2 linked regions of the Sus scrofa genome follow. The protein of the gene in region 2 purifies or fractionates together with the protein of the main gene of each other region. This does not show direct contact. Links are inferred from orthologs where the notes say so. Each region holds a gene or a part of one and is shown on either strand. Other genes may lie near its edges. The genes, in order: CDC42BPB and LURAP1.

The links.
Region 1: the proteins of LURAP1 (region 2) and CDC42BPB purify together in Homo sapiens (co-immunoprecipitation; 3 studies listed by BioGRID and IntAct, with this or other methods). This does not show direct contact. The link is inferred for Sus scrofa from reciprocal best matches to the Homo sapiens genes LURAP1 and CDC42BPB.

The regions. Positions count from the first base shown.
Region 1 is NW_018084979.1:1,749,180-1,753,692, forward strand, and holds the start of CDC42BPB (serine/threonine-protein kinase MRCK beta), read right to left. Parts: upstream 2,943-4,513; 5' UTR 2,851-2,942; coding exon 2,676-2,850; intron 1-2,675. UniProt on the Homo sapiens protein: Serine/threonine-protein kinase which is an important downstream effector of CDC42 and plays a role in the regulation of cytoskeleton reorganization and cell migration. Regulates actin cytoskeletal reorganization via phosphorylation of PPP1R12C and MYL9/MLC2.
Region 2 is NC_010448.4:165,205,226-165,209,544, reverse strand, and holds the start of LURAP1 (leucine rich adaptor protein 1), read left to right. Parts: upstream 1-1,353; 5' UTR 1,354-1,863; coding exon 1,864-2,061; intron 2,062-4,319. UniProt on the Homo sapiens protein: Acts as an activator of the canonical NF-kappa-B pathway and drive the production of pro-inflammatory cytokines. Promotes the antigen (Ag)-presenting and priming function of dendritic cells via the canonical NF-kappa-B pathway.

The sequences.
Region 1 (4,513 bases), on a different chromosome or scaffold from region 2:
ATGACCACACACCACCTAACTGATAACACCCACGGGGGAGTTACGACGGTACAGAGGTTAAGGTACACGAGATTAAATACCGCTTCTGCAATGCCTTACGATAAAACTAAAAAAAAAAAAAAAACTTTCTTAAAAGCGAAAAAAGTAAATAAAAATAAAGTACATTACTACTCCATGAAAATGCCACCTTAAATTAGAGTCCATTCTCCTTCTGCGTAATTTTAAGTTTACGCCTCTGTACAGACTGAATTCCTAGGATAACATAATTTTTTTGTAATTGTAATTTCCAAAAAGCCAGAATACAATTTTCAAGACATTTCTTTTTCTTGCTTTTTAGGGCTGCACCCATGGCATGTGGAGGGTCCCAGACTAGGGGTCGAATTGGAGCTACAGCCGCCAGCCGACACCACAGCCACAGCAAGGCCAGATCCGAGCCGCAGCTGGGACTATGCCACAGCTACACCAACTCCAGGTCCTTTAACTTGCTGCACCAGGCCAGGGATGGAACTCACACCTCTGCAGTAGGAATCTTTTGGGGTTTTTTTGGTCTTTTTTAGGGGCTGTACCCGTGGCATATGGAAGTTCCCAGGCTGAGTCGAATCAGAGCTGCAGCCTCTGGCCTACACCACAGCCACAGCCACGCCAGATTCAAGCAAAGTCTGTGACCTACACCACAGCTCATGGCAACACCAGATCCTTAACCCACTTAGTGAGGCCAGTGATCGAACCTGCATCCTCATGGATGCTAGTCAGATTCATTAACTGCTAAGCCACAACGGAAACTCCCCAAATATTTTTCTATCATAGCACGCGGCTTCTGTTTGGACTTGGAAAAGCCAAATCTCTAAGCGACGGCTCCGCCGTGCTGAGAGGCGCTTCCTCCAGGGAAGCCCACCATCCCTGGTACCATCTGGTGGTGAGGGTGTCGCACAAGGACCACAGGCCCCCAGGGGGCCCAGCTTTTAGGACACCCACCCAATGAGCACCGCACAGAACCCAGGCCACAGGCCGCTGGACCCCACCTTACCTGCTAACACAACCGCCCCTCTGCAGCCTCCTCACAGTCACACCTTTACACACACACCAAGCACTGAGCTGAACATGGCTGTGAAAATGTCTCAATTTCAAGACCAGATGTGAAATTGGATTGTGATAATCATTATACAACTACAGATGTGATAAATTCCTTGAATAATAAAATAAAAGGTCAAATGCTCAGCAAGGAATGGCCAATTCAACATTCAGCAGGCTCCGACGCAACAGGCACCCAAGGCTCCATCTTCAACAATTGCTGATCATTCCGCTGGAAATCACGTCGCCGACCCCAGAAAGTGAGTAGCATCCTTACTTTATTGATACCGCATGTAACCTAGAACGGAGAACCCCACCAAAATAAAGCAGAACAGACCGTCCTGGGCCTCTGGGCCTCCTTCAACTGCCCTCACAAGACATCATGCCACTATTTCACTAATGGGCTAAAAAAAGAAGCTCCCTAAAGAACATCACATCTTAAGTAATTCCAATCACCACTTTGGCAGAGTAGATGGCCTCAGTATGGAATACAGCCATTGGTTTCTTCAGGTAAATATCAGCTTTATCAGCCCTTGAGATTAGAAATTACTGGTTCAAACTGAACAGTCCTAGTCCAATGACGCAAATGATGCAAAGGATAAGATTTCCATGGATTTGGCCTGAACCCTGAACATAAGCACTTCATCTTCCTAATCAGTAGTTTCAGGTGAGTCTGAGGGTCCTGACAGGTCGCCTGAGTTAGAGAGTTAAGAGGAGCTTGCTTTACACCTGCAGCTGTTCTTCAGATTCTCAGGATCACTATTAAAGAGCTTTATCAAATTATCGTCCTGGTAAAGTGTTTTAGTTTAGTGGACCAATGACTGCAGCATTTCTAGAATCCTGCTCCAACTAGAGAAAGCATGCAAAAACCGGATGAGTTAAGTTTTTAAGTGACTTCCACATACTAACAATTCCAGCCTCCCCCCCCCATATTACACGGGTCTGGTACGATTACAATGACAAAACTCGATTTGCTCTCACGTGGCGTATTCAAGATAAAGCTCTGAACCCTAAAATACCCTTGGAAGTAGTACAGTAAAAGGGGGGTTGAAGCCCTGGACACCAAGGGGATGCAGACAGGGTGTCACCTAGGAGGGGCGCCCCGGAGATGCGGGGGGGTGGGGGAGGCAGACGCGAAAAGCCGACGCCGCTGCCGCTACAAGCCAGCGGGGGGGGGGGACCTCGACGCTGACTCCGGACCCCAAAGGCGAGGTGCGGGGGCGGGGGCGGATGTCCCTGGGAGAGCTGCAGGAAACGATATCCAGACTCGGAGGGTGGATCTAGGAAGCGGCCGGGGCGCTGGCCCGGCGGAGGTGGGGGTGGGGGTGGGAACGGAGGATGTGGCTCCGAGGGGCAGGATGAGGGGGCGGGACGGCCGAACGCCGAGGTGCGAAGGCCAAGGAGGAGGGCAGGGCGGGACCAGGAGCGGCGAAGGGGCGAGCGCGCAACGGGCGGGCGGAGAGGGCCGGGGCGGCGGGGCTGGGAGCAGTGACGAGGCGGGATGAGCGGAAGCCCGAGGCCCAGGAGGAGGCAGGGCGGGGAGGAGGGAGCCGGGAGGGGGTCGCAGGGGCCGAGGGTCAGGCGGGGGCCCCGCGCGCACTTACCCCACTCGAGGAACTCGGCCACATACTTGTCGCGGCGCAAGGCCGAGTGGCTGCACTCGGTGTACAGGCAGACGAGCACGTCGAGCAGCGTCTCCACGCTCAGGGCGCTCTCGTTGCGCCAGGGCCCGTCCAGGAGCAGCTGCTCCAGCTTCTTGAGCCGCACCTTGGCCGACATGGTGCCGCGCGGCTCGCTCCCCACGCGCCGGCCTCTCGCCGCCCGCTCGGCCAGTCCCTCAGGGCGAGCCCTCGGGGGCCCGGCGGCCGCGAGCCCCGGCAGCCGCGGCGCCTCGTCGCCGCCCCGTCCGCGTCGTCGCGCCCCGGCCTAGGCCGACATCTTGGGCTCGGTCCCGGCGGCGCAGCGTCTGGGGCGCCGGGCCCCGCGGGTCCATGGGCCGGTCTCCTCCCCTCGGCGCCGCCGCCCTCCCCGCGCGACGCGGCCCGCCCTCGCCTCGCCCCCGCCGCGCGCCCCTCGGCCCCGCCCGCGGCCGCGCCCTCGCCGCCCGTCGCCCGCAGGCCACCAGGAGCAGCGCGGAGCCGAGCGCTGCGCAAGCCCGGCCGGCGCCCGAGCCCCGACCCCAGCCCCGACCCGGCGGCCCAGCCCCGCGGCCCGCAGCCAACCAGGGCGCGGCCAGCGCGGGCCCAGCCAACCACGGCCCGGCCGGCCGCCGCCGCGCTGACCTCAGCGCGCCGCCCCGCCCCTGCGCTCCCGGCTCCCGGCTCCCGGCGGGATCGGGCCTCGCCGCTTGCCGTAGCGGGGCCGGGATGCTGGGAAGGCCGGGGCTGGCGGGGCGGAGGGGAGCGACGCCCGGCGGGGCGGGGGCGGGGCAGCGAGGAGCCAGTGCGCTGCCGAGATTGCGGCGCCGGCGCGTGCGCGGAGAGCCCCCGGGCGGCGTGCGCGAGCGCGCGGGGGTCGGCCTGTGTGTGCGGGGCCCGCGCGCCCGCGACCCGGCTCTCTCCGCGCCCCCGACGCTGGAGCCCGAGGCGGCCTCCGGCGTCCCTGGCCTGCCTGGGAGCTTCGCGGCCGGTGGGCCGATGTGAGCGTCGCGGGCTGTCCCGCAGGGGCAGATGTGGTGGCCTGGGCGGCTGGCCTGGCTGTTTTAAAAACTGGGCTCGTCGAGTCTGGGAGCGGCCTTTCGGTAAACGCAGGTCCACCTCTGCCTTGACGGACGGGAGGCTGAGGCCGGGACAAGGCGGAGCTGCTGGAGAGCGGACCCCCACCGTCCAACCTTGCCTCCACGCAGATGCTCTAGGGTACCAGTTTGCTATATGGAGCGGCCTGCCATTGGTCTCCAGGCTGGGTCTGCCCAGCCGGCTCCTGCTGGTTCATTCGTGTGCCTGGAGAAGGAAAGTGATGGAGAATATCGCCCACCCAAACGAGCTCTTGGCGTCGGGAGAGGAGGATCCCACCCAGAACTCGTGGGAGGTCACTAAGGCCATGAGGGGGAGAAACCCGGGGGACTCCTAACTTGGGGAAGAGGGGAGAGAGGGGGCTTCAGTAGAAGCAGGGCAGCTAAGTGGAGCAGATGAGGGACAGATAGGGGTTTGAACACTAAAGGAAACTGTGGCAAAACTACTCTGTGGAGGAGTTCCCCTTGTGGCTCAGCAGCAAGGAACCAGACTAGTATCCATGAGATTTTGGGTTCAATCCCTGGTCCCGCTCAGTGGGTTAAGGATCCGGGTTGCCATGAGCTGCTGTGTAGGTCGCAGATGTGGCTCGGATCTGGCCTGGCTGTGGCGTAAGCCGCAGCTGTAGATCCAATTCGACCCCTAGCCTGAGAACTTCCATATGCTGAAGGTGCAGCCCTAAATTTAAAAAAAAAAAAAAAACTGATCTATGA
Region 2 (4,319 bases):
GCCCACGGCATGTGGAGGTTGCCAGGCTAGGGGTCTAATCAGAGCTACAGCTGCCAGCCTATGCCAGAGCCACAGCAACTCAGGATCCAAACCACGTCTTCAACTTACACCACTGCTCATGGCAACGTCAGATCCTTAACCCACTGAGCAAGGCCAGGGATCGAACCCGCAACCTCATGGTTCCTAGTTGGATTCATTAACCACTGAGCCATAACAGGAACGCCCAAAGAAAATTTTTTTAATTAAAAGATAAAAAATAGGAGAGTTCCCATGATGGCTCATCAGGTTACCAACCCGATTAATATCCATGAGAATGTGGGTTCAATCCCTGGCCTTGCTCAGTGGGTTAAGGATCCAGCATTGCCATGAACTGTGGTGTAGTTCTCACATGTGGCTGGGCTTCGGTGTTGCTATGGCTGTGGCATAGGCCTGCATGTGCAGGTCCAATTTGACCACTAGCCCAGGAACTTCCATATGCCTCAGGTGTGGCTGTAAGAGAAAATAAATAAATAAATATGTAGGAGTTCCCACTGTGGTGCAGTAGGTTAAGAATCTGACTGCAGTGGCTGTGGTCACTGCAGAGGCATGGGTTTCGATCCCTTGCCTGGCACAGTGGGTTAAAAGATCTAGCATTGAGGCAGCTGCGGCATAGGTCACGGCTGTGTCTCGGATTCAGTCCCTAGCCTGGGAACTTCCATATGCTGCTGATGCAGCCATAATAAATAAATAAGTAAATAACGATAGAAATGTGTGGGACCAATGGAAGAAGGGAAATACAGATTGTGAGGTAAACCCATATTTTTCATAATAGGTAGCAGATCATGTGAAAGTTAAGACATAGTGCTACAAACCTATTTTGGAGTTATGAGTATAAGCACCAGGAAAACATAGCTAAAAGTAATTGCCTCTGGGTAGTGCGACTAGAGGCGGCAAAGAATAGGATGGCGGTAATAGCTATGTTTTCGTTACACATCTTTCTGTAATGATGGGCTTGAATAACTCGGATTGAAAATCAAAATCAAGCTAGAGCATAAAAAGTTTTTTATGGCACCTCATTGCCCGTAGAATAAAATCCACGCACAGAACCATCTTTATAACCTTGTTACTCAAGTGTGGTCCCTGGACCAGCAGCAGGGCCGTCGGCAGGGGGCTTGTTTGAAATGCAGAATCCCAGGCCCCACCCCAGATGGATGGAACAGTTATCTGCATTTTAACAAGATTCACAGAAACTTCACATATGCATAGTCAAGTTTGAGAGGCATCAGTTTTCAAGATCACGATGTAGCCCATCTGGACCCCTTCAGCTTCAATACTGGCTGCCCCTCATTGGCCAGAAGAACTTGACTTTCCACGCTTATAGTCTAAATTTAGTGGCTACACTGGTTTTGTGTGTGCGTGCATCAGTGGGTAGCTAAATTCCTCCACTGTTACAGACTCAGCTCCTCTACTCTAGGAAGCCTTCCAAAACCCTCTGCATCTCTGTTACCACTGTTCCTTAAAATCCCACATCCCTAACTGCAAATGCTTAACCTTCATTCAGCAAACATTCTTTGGGCGCCTGCTGACAACCTGGCTGGACTGAGTGCCAGAGTCGGGAGCAGGCGCTGAGCTCTCCTCCAGGTGCATAAGCAGGATCGCCCAGCCTCACCCATTTCGGAGCCAGCGCGCGCAAACACACGCAATCACACACGCACAAACACACAGAGCTCTGCGCGGCTTTTCTGAGGGTTACGGCGCCCTCCTCCCGCCCCCGCACTGAGCGGGCGGGGACCCACTGGTTCCGTACTAGCGGCCGAGGAAGGAGGACCCCCAGGAGCGGGATCCCGGCTCCGGTCGCCCATCCCTGTGCAGCCTTAGACCCGCATGGAGGGGACTGCGGAGTCCCAGACGCCTGACCTTCGAGACGTGGAGGGCAAGGTGGGCAGGAAGACCCCCGAAGGGCTGCTGCGCGGGCTGCGAGGCGAGTGGGAGCCGGGCACCTCTGGCGCCCTGCTGCTCCCAGGGGCGCCCAGCACCGGCCACGGCCTGGGGGACAAGATCATGGCGCTGAGGACGGAGCTGGTGAGTGTGGGCTCCATGGGCCAGGGGGCCGGAGACCCTAGCATGGGGCTGGGAGGGATGGACTCGCGCTCTCGGAGTTGGGCTGGAGAGGAGGGAGTTAAAACTCCCCGCCCAACTCCTCAGGATTCCGACCTAATCAATCTTTAAACCCTGGGGTCCTTTGAACGCCTTCCCCACCTAGGGTGGGTGGGGTGTTCGTGGGTCCTGAGGAATCAGGATGGGAGGTGCCGGTTTTTCTAAGTTTTTTTTTTTTTTTCCTGCCAAATAATTGGGAGGGAGAGGAGGGGACGGGGAAGCCCTGAGAACCTGGCGCAGCACAGATCTCCCGCTCCCCCTGACTTGGAGGCCACCTCTCCCGGCCTAGCCACCATTACAGGGCGACCAGTTTTTTCTCCTTCTGCAGACTGGGCCCAGGGTTTGTTCCTCTCAGGCCCCAGTATCCACCACAAGATTTCGCACAGAAGCGATATGGGTGAAAACTGCCTGGACTAGGGCCACTAAAAACATCCTCTTTCCTCAACACCCCCCCGCCCCCCCGCACCCACTTAAAATATTCAAAAGTTCCTAGAACCTTAGCAGACACACAGGAGCAGCGCCAGCAGTGTTGGTCCCATCACTTCTTCCTTTTTTTTTTTGGCTTTTCTAGGGCTGCACCTGAGGCATACGGAGGTTCCCAGGCTAGGGGTCCCATCACTTCTGACACAGTCTCCTTCCTGCCAACCCCCAAGTACACTGGATATTTGCATCTCATCTGAGGAGAAGCGAAAGAAGCAGGTACCCAAACTCCCCTTTCCTGTTGCTGCTCATCTAGATTCAGAGCCAAAAGGGCAGTTGGGCACACACTCCCCAGGCTCCCTGGTTCCGGGGAAGGGGGTGATTTACACCTGCCACCACTTTGCAGCCAATTCTGGGGAACTGAGGAATTGCCAGCCACTTTCTGGCCCAGAAACAGGAACCCACAGTAAATATGTCAGCGGACAGGTCTTCCTGGAGCCCTACTGTGTGCCCAGCTCTGTGCCAGGCTGAACTGTGGAGCGTGGGGAGAGGGTGGAAATGGAGGCTCCCTGACAACCTCAGAGGCTGGGAGGAGAGCTTTGTGGGCAAAGTAATCAGGGAAGGCTTCCTGGGGGAAGGGTTTGAATGCCCTGTGTCTACTTGGCCTGGAAGGTTGGAGCAATTGTTAAATTCTCCAGAGTAGGGCTGTAATTGTGCTGATCCAAGCGAGGGGTCCAGCTTTGTCTCGCTGTGCAAACTTTAGCTCAAGGCCTAGAAAGAGCTTACTCAGAGTGTCTTGCTCTGGAAACTGACTTCACCAAGTACAAGTGCCAGGCATCGTGTTGAGCATGTTACGAGTCCTCACAGCAGTTTATTAGGTAGATGGTATATTACAGATGAAGAAACTGAGGTACAGGGAGTTCCCTGGTGGCTCAGCGGGTTAAGGATCCAGTGTTGTCATTGCTATGGCTCTTGTAGCTGCTGTGGCTTGAGTTTGATCCCTGGGCCTGGAACTTCTGCATGTGCCCCCCCCCAAAAAAAGAAAGAAATTGAGGTGTAGGAGTTCCCATCACGGCGCAGTGGGTAATGAATCTGACAAGGAACCATGAGGTTGCAGGTTCGATCCCTGGTCTCGCTCAGTGGGATAAGGATCCGGCGTTGCCGTGAGCTGTGGTGTAGGTCGCAGACATGGCTGAGATCTGGCGTGGCTGTGGCTCTAGTGTAGGCTGGTGGCTACAGCTCCGATTAGACCCCTAGCCTGGAAAACTCTATATGCCGCAGGAGCAGCCCTAGAAAAAGCAAAAGACAAAAAAAAAAGAAAAGAAAAAGAAATTGAGGTATAGAGTCATACAAAAAGTGAAAAGCAGAACCAGGCTTTGAACCCAAATGATCTGCCTTTGCTTTACAGCTTCGCCATTGAGACCTGCTTCGCACCAGACACATGAAACGTTTTTTGCTGTCATTAGAGTTAGAAAAGCAATCATCATTTTCCCGTCTCACAGAGGAAGCACGCTTACACAAGTTAAGCATGCTTGCCTGCGCTGACAGTGGGAGCCAGGGAGTAGCCATGCCTAGTCTCTCTGGCTCTCTTTTCTGCCTTTGGAGATTATTGTTTATAAACTTTAAGGAGTACATTTAACTTTTTTTTTTTTTTTTTTAATGGCCACATCTGCAGCATATGGACGTTCCCAGGCCAGGGACTGAATTCCAGCCACAGCTGTGACCTACACTGCAACTGTGGCAACAATGGAGCCTTTAACCCA